Linked DNA regions of Rattus norvegicus. Each later gene encodes a partner of the first gene's protein in a complex. Links are inferred from orthologs where the notes say so. Each region holds a gene or a part of one and is shown in the gene's direction. Other genes may lie near its edges.

Region 1 (3,742 bases):
AAATTACTGCTGATTATTGTAATACAATTGGCTTAGCTCTTTCTGCTTAAAATTACTTTTGTGTGCATTAATGTGTGAAATGCATTAGTATGTAATATGTGTGGAAACATATTGCTATTCTTACTGCCAAAATGATATCCAGACATAACTTACAAATACTGGCAACACAGTCCACTCTGGCCTCTGGAGCGCAGGATTTGATAGAAGCCATGTGATATGGCCTTCCTCCCTCTCTGCAGAAGAGCCAGAGCACCCGACGTCCATGCACTGCACTGCTTTCCCCTCTTCAGCCAGGCCACTACCTCCTGCCTCGGCGGGCCCTGCAGAGAAGCCGCATGAAAGCAGCTGCTGCTCTGCACAGGGCTGTCTCTGCCGTAGAATCTACCACTCAGCTGCCCTTTTTTTTTTTTTTTTTTTGAGGTTTCACACATTCACAGAAATAACACATTTTTAGCTGATCCCAATAGATTTTTCTCTGCAGCTGCATCACTTGAAAGGCTTTTTGTTCCAGTTCTTAAAGTATAAGTATGAAAGTAATTTCAAAAAAAAAAGAGAAAAGCATCTCAATTATGATTTGTGTGTGTCGTGGTGCCTTTAAGGACTGACTGAGCTGCAAACCAACTCCACAGACCCAGCTAGTGTGCCTGTGGCAGCACAGGGTCGGAGCACGGTACCGTGCACTGACGTCAACTCCAGGGCACATGGCAGGGTAGGCTTGTTTGGCAGGACCTACGGTCTCAACCTGCAGTGATGCTAACGATAATAACAAATTAGCACCATGGAGCTTGCCAGCTAACTCACCAGAGCCCGCTCCTTCTCTCCCCGCTGTAATTAAAACTAATTATTTTCTAAAACCTAGTAATACATGAATATGTGCAGTGATCGTTTTGTAGTGGGCGATCTGCAGAGTCTGATTCAGGCTGGTTTGCTTTTCCTTCTTTCTACTTTCTACTCTGCCTGGCTGAGTCCACACTCACCATGGCAGCATCTGAAGCAGGTCCTGCTTATGAAACCTCAGAGTTCTGTCATCTTGACAGGGAGGGAGTGAGTGCAGATCGCTGCCTCAGTTTCCACTTGTTCTTTACACATGCACTCAGAACCTCTAGGGCAGGGATGTGCAGCTAGATGGCTCTCTAAGGGTCTATGGAAATTCAGCTCTGTTCCCTCAATAACTACACTGATTGCCCTCCATGGTTGGATTCTTCTTTTAAAAAGAAATCAAGCCTTCAGAGCATGTCTTTTGGTGTCTTCAATGAGTATGTATGAGTCGATTGTTGTCTGAAACTTTAACAGGGCCTAGATGGAGCTGGCTGCATTTCTTAGCTGAAGATAGGAAGTGTAGGTTGTATCAGGAGCTGCTATGGGCATTTATTTCATCTCCTATGGAGGGTTAGTAACTGTAGGCTCTGTGCCCGCTGAAGGGACAGCGGCCCACTGTAAAGTCATAGGGACCTTCCCCTAAGTCCTCATCCGGCTCCTCCTGTGCTGTAGACTAGACAATGTGAAGTAGCTAAGGTTTTGTGGACAGAGATTACTTGAGCTGAGGAAATAGAAGGCCAGACCATCTAGAGCCCCGATAAACGCAAGCTGCTTGCCAGCCCATGAGCAAGCAGTGCACAGGACGCTCATGTGGACTTGATGACTACTGCTTAAGCTGTGGTAAAGAGAAAACGATTATAAACTAGCCAGCGTCTGGGACTCTTGAGCATACAGAATCTGCCCCTCCCCCTGTGTAGCCTTTCTTTCATATATCAGTGTGCTTCAGGAGCCCATGACTCTTCTGATTGTTTGATTAGTCTGTTTTGCCCCTTTCTCTCCTTCAGGGGAAGCTTGGGTGCTGGTGCCTCACTCAGTAGCTCATGTAAACAGGGGTGCCATGGTACACCTCATGTGTAACTCGGATTTTCTCCTATTTTCCATTAGCATCTATGGGTCTTACAGATATGATGTCTCCCAGTGAGTCCAAACTGTCCGTGCCTCTTAAAGCAGATGGCAAAGAAGAAGGTGTGCCCCAGCCTGAGAGCAAGTCAAAGGTACTTCCTCCCCGCACACCACAGTCCTCCCTGCACGCCACGGTCCTCCCCGCACGCCACGGTCCTCCCCGCACGCCACGGTCCTCCCTGCACATGTGTGCAGTCTTTTCTATCCTACTGCATATCCCCTGTGATGTGAATATCAAAGTTACTGGTTCTTACAGTGTTAAATCACCATGGGGGAGGGGAGGACAAAACCTACTTGAGAGGTGCCTGTGGGGGAAGCAAGGGATCTCTGTTGCCTGGTGTGGACCCTTGGAGTCATTTCTCTGCCTTTAGTTTGGAGCTTCTTGTTTTGGCCACCCACCTCAGCAACCACATCCATATTATTTTGCTTCCCTACCGTATTTCATAAATAAGGGAGATGGTGCTTTATCTTTCTTTCACTCTCTTACATATGGGTAATCCGTAGCTAGTATTCCAGTTAAGCTGGAGTACGCATGGTGGCTTTGTGGCCTTTCCAGCATCCCTCACAGTGACCAGTGACCAACCATGCTAAGAATACTTTGGTACTTTGGGGGCTGTGTGTGTACGTGTCTTTATATATACAGTTGTGATATATAGAGAGATACACATGCACACATACACAATTAGTCAGTTAAACTGGACGTACTTCTGTTTTAAATAAAGTTTGACGTAACTTTGTTGTTTTATTTTTGTTCCTCTCCCACAGGATAGCTACAGCTCTCAGGGTATTTCTCAGCCTCCAACTCCAGGCAACCTGCCAGTCCCTTCCCCAATGTCCCCCAGCTCTGCCAGCATCTCCTCCTTTCACGGAGATGAGAGTGATAGCATTAGCAGCCCAGGCTGGCCCAAGACTCCATCAAGCCCTGTAAGTGGCCCTGGTTGTTTGTCTCTCTTTGTTATTTTTGGATTTAGGGCAGATACTGAATTATGTTTTATTGTTTGGTGGTTTGCTTTGTAAAACTCTTGAGTTGTTGCTCCATAAAAAAGCTTTCTTTTAAATAAGTAATTACATTAGTAACAAAACAAATGTATATGTAGCATAGATCTTTCTGGCATTATCAGCAGTTGCTCTGAGGTAAAGGCCTACCTCCACAAGGAGGTGTGCTGCTGCTTTGGGGGCCCAGACTCCTCCAGAAGTGTGGGCTGTGAGCCATAGAAGGCTTCTCTAAAGCCAGCTGCTGCTATTGGTGGGGACTAATAGAGGTCATGAGAAAACGGCACACTTGTCTCTCGGTTTAACTCTGTCATGGGCTGTTACATCTAAAACATAGTCTAAAGCTGCCTCCCCAAATGAATAAATATTGCAGGCGGGCACAGCATAGCATAACAACAGCCCTGCCTCGCTGTATGTCTGAAATTAACAGAGATTTGGAAATGTTAGTGCATGTGAATTTTTAGACTAAGAATATGTGTGTGTGTGTGTGTGTGTGTGTGTGTGTGTGTGTGTGTGTGTGTGTGTGTGTGTATCAGAGCCATTAGGAGAGACAGGACCCATTCCACACAAAATGCTAGCAGTCTAGAAATAGGTGTGCTGTATAAATGACAGCAACGCTGTGTGCATGCCAGGAAATGCTCTTTGGTCGCCGAGTTGGACTTTACTCCTTCTAAAAATTTGCACTGTACCAATAAAAATAAGTAGTGTGTTACAGTGACCTTTTTCCTATACACTCATAGGGAATCAAAAGATCTTTAAAGGTTGTTTAAAAACCTAACATGCAGTTAGTGAACAAGAAACTTATCTA
Region 2 (4,208 bases), about 16 Mb from region 1:
AAGGGAACTCAAATTCTGAAATCCAAGAGCTAGATCATCTTTTCTGATCTGGTCCTGTACATTCTTGGAAGAGTTGTGGGGAGTGTTGTGGATGGGGGCTGGGGAGCATAGGGGTGCTTCTCTGTCCCTTGCCTTTGTCTATTGGACCTGTTGTCTTCCTGGTGCTCCTTTCAAAGGGTGGGGTCCGGCCTTTCAAAAGGCGAAGTCTAAGAACTAGGATCAATATAAATCCAAGCACACTGGCTTTCATTTCCCAGGGATTCCCAATCCTGTGTCCTGCAGGTGATTATGTTTTCTGACACTGTCATATGGTTTGGGGGACCTTCTCTATGTTCTTGCCTGATTGGGTCCTGTTCAGCCAGAGTGCTGCTCTGACTTTTCTCGTGGCCACTACACCTAGGTTTCGGGAGTGGCAAATGTAGAACAAAGGAGCCAAGGGCGCCTTGGGGACCCAGAGGTGTGCGGAGTGAAGATGGCGGGGTGGGGAAAAGGCACTACAGGAGAGGGGATCTCAAGGAGAGAGGAGGCGGAGCTCCTGGGGTGGTTGACCCTCAGGGCTGAGGAGAGAGGAGGAAGTAGACTGAGGACTCAAATCCTTCAGTTACAGAAGGGAGCGCAGACACTGGTGGAGAAGGGGAAGGTGGCCGCGGGTGTGGGGACCCCAGGCTGAGGGGAGGGGCTGGGACCGGTGGTGGGAGGATACCACGTAGCGGGGACCCTTGATTCGGGGTGGGGGCGGGAAGAGACAGCGTGGTGGAGACCCCTGGCTGAGGGGAGGAGCTGGGCACCGGTGTGTGTGTGTGTGTGTAGGGGTGGGGGTTGGAGGACACGCGTGGTAGGGACCCATCTTTCACGGGAGGAGCTGGCGACCCAGGTGGGGACTAGGCAGCCGCCGCCGACTGAGGACCCCCGGCTGACGCGCGGCGGAGGAGGGGAGGGGGCGGGACCGCGGCGGGGCGGGGCGGCGCGGAGCCGCGGCTGACGCGAAGGGCCGGGCTGGGGGCGCAGGGAAGGGGCGGCGGCGAGCTCGCCAGGCGGCCAGGAACCCGGGTCGGGCCGGGGCCCGGGCCAAGGCGGCAGCTGGCCAGCGGAGCTCAGGCCGGGCGCGGCGGGCCGGGTGAAGGCGGCAAGGCGGCGGGCCCCGGCCCAGGCCCGTAGAGCCGCGCAGCTGCAGCCGGCTGACGTGAGCGGCGTGCGGGTCCCGGCCGGCGGCGCGCTGGCGGCCATGGCGGTGGCGCTGGCGGGCCGCGGGGCGCGCGGCGGCAGGGGCCGGCCCCCGGGCGGGCGGGCGGAGGGGGCGGGGCCGGGGCGCCGGGCGGCCCGCGCGACAGCGGCGGCAGCGGCGGCGGCGGCGGCTGGGACTAGGCGACGGCGGCGACGACGACGGAGGCGCGGGGCGCTGGGGCTGATGGCAGCGGCCGGGCCCGGGGCGGCGCTGTCCCCGCGGCGGTGCGACAGCGACCCGGCCTCCCCCGGAGCGCAGTCCCCGAAGGTGAGCGGAGCGCGCTGCCCAACGGCTGCAGCGGCCCGGGCCGGGTTCGGGAGCGCAGTGGGGACAGGACGGCGGGTCCCCAAGCAACAAGTGCGGCGAACGGTGGGCGCGGACCTCAGGGAGACCTGCGCGGCGGGTGGGAAGTTGTCGGGGAGTAGTAGGGACCGGAAGACTCGCGAAGAGTGGTTGAGACGGAGCGCCCGCAGCCTGGGGAAGTCAGAAAAGTTGCGGCCTTTTGGGATCTCAAGTCCAGGAGACGCTGAGCGGGGCGTGCGCTCGTGGTCCCGAGTTGGCAGAACGTGGGTTCACACCCACAGACTCGGCCAGCCGAAGTGACCCGTCCACGTGCCCGTCCCTCCCCGCGGGGCCTCTGTCTGCTCCCCTGTGAACCTCACTGTGGCCGGGCCCGAGTCAGAGCAGCGCCCGGGGGCTGCTGGCTCCTGGCCCCGACTGAGGACCTTGCAGAGAAGAGGGCCTTACCTGGAACGTAGCCCTTAGAATTCATACGGTTGTGAGCTGTTAAACTCTGTGTCAACTTCCATTATTGTTTCTTTTCGAATGGATCATTGTTTTTAACTAAAAGCGTTTTTAAACAGAAATCTTTAAAATATTCACAAATTAGTAAAATAGCGCTTAAAATGCTTCAGAGCTTAAAATGAACCTTGTCAAGCAAGTATGGAATATGAGTACTGTGAAAAATTAAATATTAAATATTATCTTTCAACTTGTTTTTTAGTTTTAAAAAGGAATATTAAGTTTGTTTACTTGACTTCATTTTTGATGAGTGAAAAGGAGAATGGTTTCTTTTTTTTTAATTTGAAAAATAATTTTAGTAAATTCCTAGGTGCTAGAGACATAGTGAAATGTAAAATCACTGCTAACCTCAACGTTAACATATATCAGTTATGCACTAGCCCTTGCTCTTCATGTGCTCATGTATCACTTCACTGAATCCTTGCATCAGCCACCTAGGCTTTCAGACAGGGAGAAGCTGGCAGGTTACCACACAGCTGGTGGACAGCTGCTCCATACGACTCCAGGCAGCCCACAGTGGCATGCTGACCTGACGTGCTGGCCTGTGCTTCCTTTTTATTTTCTTTCGCGGGTCCTTATTGAAATATATAGTAAGATTAGTAGTGTTAAGAGCTATAGTACCTTGATTTAAAGAACTATGAGCTGAAGCCATGAGCAATATGTAAATGAATTATTTTAAAAACATTTGACTACTTCTTTCCTTAATGGAATGGCTCAACAACTTATATCTTCTATGAGCTTATCACAATGTGCTGAATTTCTGCTATAGAAGAAAAAGAATGTAGTTAGACTTGGTAACCTGTGTCCAGTCCTTCATCTGCAAAGTAGCTAATTAGAATGTGATCTGGTAGGCCAGTTGTAAATGGAAGTGTGCTACAAAATTTGTTAGTATTTATTTCCCAGCTCAAATAGGAAGGCTTACTTTGATTTTAAAGTGGTTTTGCTATTAAAAAGCAGAAGACATTTGAACACAACCTAGTTGGTAAGAAAATGAAAGCAGAGTACATTTAAAATATAGTTGAAAATCAATTTTGTTTAGATTGAAGGTCAGTTTTTAGATTTATTCCATTTCTTATAACAAATTCTCTGTCCTTTTAATTATTCTAAAATTAAGTTTTCTAAGGACACTAGGTAGAAATGTGCTTTCTCTTGTTGATATTTAGGCAGACTGGAATGATACAGAATCACTCTTTGTTTTTAATTCATTTTAACATTTTCCATTTTTTTAATGTACAGGATGATAATGAAGATAACTCAAATGATGGGGGTCATCCATCTAAAAGAAGACGAATGGGTTCAGGGGATAGTTCAAGAAGTTGCGAGACTTCAAGTCAAGATCTTAGGTACTGCTGCTTTAAGGCTCAGTAGTGACTTCTGTAAACTGTTTGCTCACTTCTTCTTTCCTATCCCAGGCAGCATGAAAAGTTATTAAAAATTATATGTATGGGCTGGAGAGATGGCTCAGAAGTTAAGAATGCTTGTCTAACTGGAGATTGGTTACCAGCACCCACCTCCCCCAGTCTCCTGTAAGCTCCAGAGGCGCTGATGTTCCATTCTGTCCTCCACAGATGTTTGTACACATATACACAAAGCAAGCAAACAAACAAATCTTTAAAAAAGAGTCATATAATATAATATCGAAGTTGGTCTTGCTCCTGAGAACTATTAAAAAAAACAAACGATAAAATAGGTACATAAAATACAGCCATCGTAACACTTTTTATATATAAGAAGTATAGTTCAGTGGCATTAATTACATTTACAATATTGTGCAACCATCACTCTCACCCCTTTTCAAAACTTCAGTAGTGAAACTGCAGAACCCCCCAGTACCTCCTGTTCCTTCCTGCCCCCTGCTGCTGGTTGGTTACCAACTAAGTTCTCCTTCCTGCCCCTGACTGTGAACCATACAGTGCCTATCCCTAACCATATTATCTTCAAGGTTCATCTGTGTTGGAGGTCCTGAAGTCTGAACGATATTCCACTGTATGTGCTGCTACATTTTGCTTATTCCTGTGTATGCCTGCAGGCTGGGGTAATTAATGCTGAAGTGAACACTGGCGTTCAGAACCCTTGCTCTTAGTACCCTGGTATATAGCTAGAAGTGGAAAGCTGTACCATATGGTAATTCTGTGTTCAGCTTTTATAAGGACCTTCCATACATTTCCAGTGGTACCACCAT
Region 3 (4,233 bases), on another chromosome or scaffold:
TATCCGATCGTGCCTAATTACCTGGGGGAAGGGATGGTCTCACACATCATGTCCTGGAACTCACGGAGGTCTGCCTGCCTAGGATTCTGGAGTTCTGGGATTAAAAGTGTGAACCACCATGCCTGGCCCTTAACACTCTGGTTCCCGTGGCTGTGAGGACAGTTGGGCAAACTCCTGGTTACCACGGCCCTTCCTAGTTAACATCTCCTTCCTAAGGACCCTAGTCACAACTATGGTCTCATTAGGCTGACCCTTATGAAACTGGCCAGTTTGATTTCCACTTTCTTAAAGGTATTTATATTTTGTACATCCTCCCCCTCCCATACCCCACTTCCCCTATCCCCCCTCCCTCTCCTGTTAGTCCCTTTGCTCCCATACACAATGTCACTTTTCTTTCATGTTCTGTGTAGTACATATTTTATGAATCTATGTGAAATCTAGAAAGCACAAAGGAGAGAAAACCTATTTGTCTTTCTCAGACTGGCTTGATTTAATACGATTATCTCCAGTTGCATCCATTTTCCTGAAAACGATTTCGTTTTGGGGGCTGAAAAAATAATTCCGTCGTGTACACACATTTCACTCTTTTTGCTTTATTTTATTTTATTTTTTTCTGAGACAGTTTCTCTACCTACCCCTGGCTGTCCTGAAACTCACTGTGTAGACTTGCCTATAACTCACAGAAATCCTCCTGTCTCTGCCTCCCGAGTGCTGGGGCTAGCCACGACACCCTGCCTAGATTACATTTTCTTCAACCATTCTTCTACCTAGGCTGGGCTATAACTTAAGCTATTGTAATAGCGCTACAATAAACATTACTTAAACATTTTGGAGTCAAGGCTCTGTTCAACAGAGGGTGGACTGCTTGGACACTTTCCAGAAGCTCTGTCTTGCCTCGGGGCTGTTAAGGCCCAAGGCCGGCAGAGGCACAGAACAGGACTGGGCTTGTGGGCACCAAGCTTGCAGAGGTAAGGAAGGAAGGCAAGTGTCTCTTCCCGGTCACCTGGCACATTATATAGATCTTTGAATAGTACCAACCTCCATCCAGTACTGTTATTCTTCCCATCCCTACTGCCTCGGGAATAGCTGTGGGCCTGCAGCGGATAGCTAGCTATTCCTAGCGCACCTTCGGGTGGAGAACCTGGCCGGCCTGGGGTCGCCATGCCCACCCCGCTCCAGATGGAGCGGTTCTTCTCCCCGCTTAACATCTCATTTATTCCCTTCATCCCAGGGCGGAGTGCCATCTCAGGCTGTGCCACTAGAAAAGCCACCGCCTGAGTCAGGACCTCAGTGGCTATTTCTGTCGCTGAGAAGTTTCCCTCCATACCCGCCTGGAAGCAAAAGAAGCTCGGGTCCCTTTAAGGGCCTGCGGGAACGCGCTCGCGCAGGCGGCGGCGCGCACGTTAGCGTCAGCACCCCCACGCGCATGCGCACGGAGGGAGGCCTGCTCTTCGCAGAGACGGCTTAAGAACCTAGTAGTGACGCGAGCGCCTTCCCGGTTTGCCCGGCTCGCCCTGTCCGTCCTTCACCTCCCGGCCTCCGTTCCTTTCGGTCCGACGCGCCTCGGCCCCGCCCCAGCCCACCGGATTCTTTCCAGCTCGACCCCGGCTGCCAGTTTCCCCCGCCGCCATGATGATGATGGCGTTGAGCAAGACCTTCGGGCAGAAGCCCGTCAAGTTTCAGCTGGAGGACGACGGGGAGTTCTACATGATCGGCTCCGAGGTAGCCCGCGGCGCGTTCTCGGCTTCCCGAGCAGCGGCTGGCCGGCTCGAATCCCGGGGCGGGCCAGTGCTCCCCGAGTGCGCGCCTCCATTCATCGCGGAGGCGGGCTCGTGCTCGCAGCTGGGGCGTGGCCTGGTGGGCGTGGCCTCTAGGTTTCCTTACCCACTTAACATCCGACCCTAAGCATCTGCCCTAGCTTAGAGCTTAGAGCATCGAGCCGGTTCACTCTAGGCAAATGGAAAAAGGATGTTTGGGAAGCCCCTGGGTGCTTGGAGGTGCAGTACTGCCCTTGAGCCCTTCGGCAGCTCTCGTGCACCCCACTGCCATGGTCTTGAAACCTCTAGTTGTAAGCCTGAGGCTTAGGAAAACCTCCTCCCCTTTGTGTCCTTGTTTCTGTGGTGGAGTGCAGTAGCATAAGTTTTATGATGTGTAGAAAGTGATTGGAGGAGGATGTTTGCTTTTGAGTGGTTGAGGCCCCAAGGCCAGAAGCACTAACATTTTGGAGATCTGTGAACTGATTTTGAGTCTTTATAGGGGATAAATCTAAGGATCGCTAACCCATAACTCATAACTAGAAGAGACAGCCCCTGTTCAGTTAAGTGGACATAGTTCCTTAGGTTCGCTCTTGTGTGTTGCTACCCCTTTCATAGGGCTCCCACATCAGATATCCCGCATATAAGATAGTGACATTATGATTTGTAACTCTAGCAGAATTATAGTTATGAAGTAGCAACGGGAGAATTTTATGGTGAGGGGTCATCACAACATGAGAAACTGTATTAAAGGGTCACAGCATTAGGAAGGCTGAGAACCACTGTCTTAGAAAAACCCTACAATTAGACCTACAGACCAGCCAAATGTATGAAGTTTCTTTTCTTTCTTTTTTAAAACAGATTGTCTCAAACTAGCTTTCTTCCATCTAAGGGCAACCGCCAACCAGTTTATGTCTCCACTCCCCCCTTCTCTTTGAGACAAGATCTCATTGTGTGACCCTGGCTGGTTTGCAACTCCCCTTTGAGACCTGGCTAACCTTGAACTCACAGAAATCCACCTGCCTCTGCCTCTCAAATGCTGGGATCAAAGCACTTGGTGCCACCACATCCCGTTTATGTTTCCTTTTCTTTCTTTCTTTTTCTTTATTGTTTTTTTTTGTTTTTGTTTTTGTTTTGTTTTTGTATTTTAAGCTGTGGGTGGCCAAGCACTAGGCTGCACCTTTAACCTGAACACTCCAGAGGTAGAATAGAGGGTGAGTTTGAGTCCAGCCTGGTCTACGTAGTCTCAAAAGAAAAAAAAAAAACCATAAAATTCCAATATGTGAAATTTTTTTTCTTTTCTTTTTTTCGGAGCTGGGGGCCTTGCGCTTGCTAGACAAGCGCTCTACCACTGAGCTAAATCCCCAACCCCTCAATATGTGAATATTAACCAGTAGACATATAGCATGTGTAAGGAGGTAGGGCCCACCCTAGAGAGCTAACTAATGCCATTTCAAACTGCCAGCAGTTACCTCCTGGCAGCTGTTGAGTGTCTTATACTCCATTAGGGTGTTGGTTGAATCAGGTAGTGGGACCAGTATTGTCAGAAACATCTAGACTTAGCATTTCTGCTTTCACTTTTTTCCATTAAACAAAAAGTGCAGGCTGCCATGACTGTTCCCACCATCACCTCTGCTACTGTTCCAAGGTGGCAGTGCTGGGGACGTGCAGTCAGGGCCCGGCCATCTCCTGTGGCTCGGAAGGGTGCTGGTTGGCCAGTAGGCATTTGTGCAAATGCAAGGTCAGTACATAAGGAACAATCTATGCAGGAGAATTTGTTGAAAGACGCTTCCCTGAACTGACCAGTGAAAGAGTAAATCTGGCCTGAGCTCTAAGAGGCTGGGGGTAGTTTTGAAAAGAAAATACGTATCTGGTGGAGCAATTGAGAGACAGCTCCTGGTCATGTGGGAAGAACCTCGGGACAGCTTGCTGTGCCTCCTTACCCTCTCGCCACTCTCTTCTCCTGCCTTCCTCAGTTCTCATGCTGGGGAGCCCTGAGCCTTTGCGCACTGAACACGTGTTCTTGCACTGAGTACTCTTGACCGGTTTTATTTTTCTCATGCATCCGAGATGTTTAAACTGGAAATACATGTCTCTTGAGGTAATTGTCATCGAATGTTTTCGGTTTTAGAAGTCCAACCACAGCCTCCTTTTGGGCTCTTGACTCTTTGCCTTCCCAGTTGAATGAGAATAGTTATCCCCAAGACCAAAATGGGTGGTTTCTCACTCCTTGGAGCCTGGCTTTGATTTTGGGAAGAGCACAGGGTCATATAGTATTTTCTGTCTGCAGTATTGTCTGGATGATGGATTCAGTTTTAGACAGATGGGACAGATGCAGCACACTAGCAGTGTCTCTGACCTCTGTGGAGCTGCTTTGGGAGGACGTCTGCAGCGGATATGACTATGTCCCTGTCATCCTGTCATTTGCCACAGGAGTCACAGGACTTTGAAGAAATGAATGCCCAAGTCCAGAATCTTT
Region 4 (4,118 bases), on another chromosome or scaffold:
TAATCTGTTCCCACAAGTTCCCTCAGGCATTGCCCCTCCCTCAGTCCCACCCCCAGCTAGCCCATTAACGTGACCCTTGGTTGTCTCAAAGCTCGGGGACTCCTCCTCCTGAAGGTGTGGACAGGCGTGGCTTGTGGCATGGGCGGGGCTTGGGCTCAACCTAGGGATTTCAGGATCTGCCCCCTCCTTTCTGTTCTTCCTCCCCTCCGGGATTGGCCAGTTCTCTCCACACTGTCCCATTTGGGGTTTCTTCATCTTCATACACCACACTCCTGCTTTCTTTTTGGTTCTGGGGCGGACTTCACGAACCCCAGACTCTGCGTCTCCACGCCAAGCCATCAAGCCCTGTTTGCCTCACCCTTTCCTCCTACCCACCCAAGTACCCACCCTGGATCCGCGCCATTCCTCACAATGTACTCCTCCTGTTCTCATGAGCCCAATCCATGTCCCCCTTTCGGAAATACTTCCCCTATTGCCCTCACTTTCTCACACAGAGTCAAACAAAGACTCACGAGCCCAGAAATAAACTCCCACAGAGCTGAAAGACACGGGCCGTGTCCTGCTCCGCACGCACGCGCGCAAGCTCGGCGGCTCTTGTGGAGGGAAGCACACCGACGGGGCGTTTGTCAGTGCACGCACATAAACATCCACACCCACAGCCTCTGCGCCGTGCCACAAAAGGGTGCAGACACACGGTGTGCGAGACAAGGGCACACACATCTGCGGGCGCCCAGGAGCCCGCCTAGCCCGGCACACCCACCGCGGCTGGCCCTGGGACAGGAGCAAGGCCTGCTCCGGGCTCGGGCTCCCCCCAGATTCCTTGCAGCAAATGTTTCCCTACTTGGCCTGCCTGGTCCCTGGGGAAAGGGCCTCAGAAATGCGGCAGGAGCCACTTGGGGAAAGAAAGTTGGAACTGCCTGTTCCCTGCCTGGCCCTGTCGGCGAATTCCCTAACCGAGAAACTATTTGTGGCGAGGGCAGGGTGGCTAGCGAGCCCCCTGTCACCTCCCATGGTGTCCCCTCCCCGTGCCACCACCGATGGGCCCCGGGCGGCCTGGGCGCAGCTGAGCTGCCCATCGCGCAGCCTCCGGGCAGATCGGCTCGTCTCGCCGCTTCTGTGCGCCGCTTGGACCACGCGGAGTGCACGGAAGGGCCGCTCTGTCCCCGGCGCGTCGCAGGCAGACCCCGGGCCGCCGGACTATTTCTGTCTTATCAGTGCAGGAATGCGGCAGCCGCGGCGGCGGCGGCGGCGGCGGCGGGCGGGCGGCGGCGGCGTGGGCCGTGGGCCGTCAGGGCAGCCCTGAAGGGGCCCCCTCCCCACTCCGCTCGAGTAGAAGTGTGAGAGAGCCCAGCAGGACTCAGAGGGGAGAGTTGGAGGAAAAAAAAGGCAGAAAAGGGAAAGAAAGAGGAAGAGAGAGAGAGAGTGAGAGGAGCCGCTGAGCCCACCCCGATGGCCGCGGACGAAGTTGCCGGAGGGGCGCGCAAAGCCACGAAAAGCAAACTTTTTGAGTTTCTGGTCCATGGGGTGGTGAGTGGGGGAAAGTTAGCGGGGGAGGGTGAGCGAGCTGGCTCGGGCTGAATGGAGGGATGATCGGGAGGGGCCGCCGGCGCGCTCCCGCTCTCCCACCCCTTTGGTTGGGGGGCGCACGGTCACGGCCCAACCCTGGGACCTTGCCGGCGCCCTGGCATCCGAACACGTCGCCAAGCGGTCGGCTGGGGATGGGCGCGCGGCGGCTGGGAAGAGAGGCGTCGGCTTGGGTTCTTATCAGGGGCAAGGGGTGGGATGTGGGCACCGTGTCTCCCCCAAGAGGGGGGTCCCCTCAGTAACTGACATATCTCACATTCTTTTACTGGTGGGCTCAGGTGTTACCCCTGCCCTGGGGGTGGGGGTGGGGTGGTGATTCGAACACACAGCTAGGGCTGGGCTGCCTGTTGTCCCTGTTCATCCTTTGGGACAGGGTCACTCTGATTAGGTCTGAAGAACTAAGAGCAGGTGACCCTGAAGGCACCTAAGAGCCAAAGCTCTCTGGCTGAGCAACCCCTGCATCCTAGCAGGAGGGCCTTGAGTACTTGGCCCCGATGTCAGAGCTGAGAGAGGCCTACTTGAGAGACCCCAAGTTAAGCAGTCAGAGGACCTCCTTGGCAGGCTCAGCCACCAGAAAGTTGATGACCTTAACACCTCAAAGGTGTGAGGGAGGGGCTGGAGTTGGGGACATGAGGCCTAGAGACCAAAGGGATAAGACTATACTTACTGTTCTAACACCGACACACCGACACACACACACACACACACACACATACAGACACACACACACACACACACACACACACACACACACACACACACACACGAAGAGTCTGAGGGTACTCAGGGACCTAATGAGGTAGACACTTGAATTCAGTTAGCAGACAGAGCGCCTGGCTATGAGGAGCTCCAAGCCTGGGCACATGGAGGGAAGAATCAGTCAGATTCACTATGATCAAATTTGGTTGTGACCCCTGGAAGCACCTTTTCAGTGAGAGAGGCAAGGGCCCCCAGAATCTGACCTCTATGAGGGGGTACTAATGGCAGGCCTCTGGGATCCCCTAGAAGGCTTCTCCTCAGGGCCTCTCAGTAGACCAGACAGTATCAGTGGCCTTGATGAATAGGAGAGCAGTTGATAGGGAAGAGGGCTTCTCTGTGGCAGCCTGTTCTAGCCTTAGGGATATCTGGGGTGTAATTTCCAAGACAGCCCTGTGGACTAGTGGAGTTACCAGTCCTGACCTGGCTGCTTGAGTAGTCGCTTGAAAGAGTACGACCCCATGAAGAATTAATTGAATATGGCCACCTTGGAGGTTCAGTTCTTGGATGATGATTAGGGCCCCCTCTATAGTCATGAAGGGTGGCTAGGCCTGAGCTTCTACCCTGGTGGCATTGGTGCTGTGAGTGACAGAGCCAGGTGGAGTGGGGGTGGCAGATTCAGGGACAGGCCAGTTTCACTGCAGAAGAGATGAGCAGAGACAGCTGCTGGCTATGGGTGGAGACCTTAGGGGTAAGCAGTGTAAGAGGAGAAAGGAAGCCTGGGAGTTAGGGTTAAGGCTTCTTAGTCTGGGGGCAAGATGAGGGCGTGCGTGCCTGCCTGCGTGCCTGCGTGCTCGAGGGCGCATGCGCATGGTCTTCAGTAGCCCAAGCTGGCCTCAAATTCACTATATATCAGTACTTGACTTCCTGCCTCCACCTCAATATTGGGATTACAAGTGTGTGCTATCATGTGCAGTTTATTTGATACTGGGGATCGAACCCAGGTCTCCACATGTGTTGCACAAGCCCTGTACCAAGCTACATCCCTAGCCTGAGATGGGGGTGTTTAAATAGGGTTTTCATACCTCTCTCCCTAATACCCTTCCTGTTCTTCTGAACTCGTCCCACCTCCTGACTAGTCCCAAAACCTCAGCCCCCTTCCTGGGCTTGGACAAGTGAAATCTGTAACACTTCACTCACATTGGCATCTCCTCTGTTTTGATTGACTGAGTAGAGGTGGTGGCCGGGGAAAATCAATCTGCCTCATTTCCCTCCAATTTCTACCCTTCCTGGGATTGGGTGGGGAATGGGTTGACTCTTATGTGATCAGATGGGAGAGGGAATGAATGCTGCTACAGATGCTGCTTCCTTCAACCGTCCCTGCACTGGCAGCCCACTTCTAGTCCAGTTCCCCACTTGCCACTAGGCAGAGTCTGATGACACCAGACCCTCAGGTGCCCTTGCCTCTTGTATCACCTTGGGAGAAATGACATTAAAGAGGCAGGCTAAGTCGGTGGGTGTGGAGACCTGGAGTTAGCTGAACCAGTTATGTTTGAGATTGAGGTGCCAAAGCCGGGGGCTCTGAAAGGGAGATGGGGGCTCAAGTACAAAGCACATCAGCCCCAGAAGTGGGGTGTGGAAATTGGGAAATGAGAAATGAGGACAGGAAATCAGCCCCTCACCGCAGCGAAGCAGCGGGGAGCAGGGCCGGTCAGGTGCTGCCTTTGCCGGGAAGAGCAGGGTGACCTTGGCGAGGTCGCTTTTTTCTTTGAGCCCCAGTTGCCCCATCTGTCAAGTGGGGATGAAAAGACCTGCTCTGACTGGCTCGCAGAGAGCCG

What was found. The genes of interacting proteins can lie anywhere in the genome.
Region 2: Arid1b (region 1) and Phf10 share a complex: the UniProt entries of both Homo sapiens proteins name them as parts of the neural progenitors-specific chromatin remodeling complex. The link is inferred for Rattus norvegicus from reciprocal best matches to the Homo sapiens genes ARID1B and PHF10.
Region 3: Arid1b (region 1) and Smarcb1 share a complex: the UniProt entries of both Homo sapiens proteins name them as parts of the neuron-specific chromatin remodeling complex. The link is inferred for Rattus norvegicus from reciprocal best matches to the Homo sapiens genes ARID1B and SMARCB1.
Region 4: Arid1b (region 1) and Smarcd3 share a complex: the UniProt entries of both Homo sapiens proteins name them as parts of the neuron-specific chromatin remodeling complex. The link is inferred for Rattus norvegicus from reciprocal best matches to the Homo sapiens genes ARID1B and SMARCD3.

The regions. Positions count from the first base shown.
Region 1 is NC_086019.1:48,295,416-48,299,157, forward strand, and holds part of Arid1b (AT-rich interactive domain-containing protein 1B), read left to right. Parts: intron 1-1,923; coding exon 1,924-2,033; intron 2,034-2,706; coding exon 2,707-2,865; intron 2,866-3,742. UniProt on the Homo sapiens protein: Involved in transcriptional activation and repression of select genes by chromatin remodeling (alteration of DNA-nucleosome topology).
Region 2 is NC_086019.1:64,638,868-64,643,075, reverse strand, and holds the start of Phf10 (PHD finger protein 10), read left to right. Parts: upstream 1-1,408; coding exon 1,409-1,492; intron 1,493-3,262; coding exon 3,263-3,369; intron 3,370-4,208. UniProt on the Homo sapiens protein: Involved in transcription activity regulation by chromatin remodeling. Belongs to the neural progenitors-specific chromatin remodeling complex (npBAF complex) and is required for the proliferation of neural progenitors.
Region 3 is NC_086038.1:12,739,515-12,743,747, forward strand, and holds the start of Smarcb1 (SWI/SNF-related matrix-associated actin-dependent regulator of chromatin subfamily B member 1), read left to right. Parts: upstream 1-1,433; 5' UTR 1,434-1,629; coding exon 1,630-1,722; intron 1,723-4,233.
Region 4 is NC_086022.1:11,461,958-11,466,075, forward strand, and holds the start of Smarcd3 (SWI/SNF-related matrix-associated actin-dependent regulator of chromatin subfamily D member 3), read left to right. Parts: upstream 1-1,318; 5' UTR 1,319-1,449; coding exon 1,450-1,527; intron 1,528-4,118. UniProt on the Homo sapiens protein: Involved in transcriptional activation and repression of select genes by chromatin remodeling (alteration of DNA-nucleosome topology).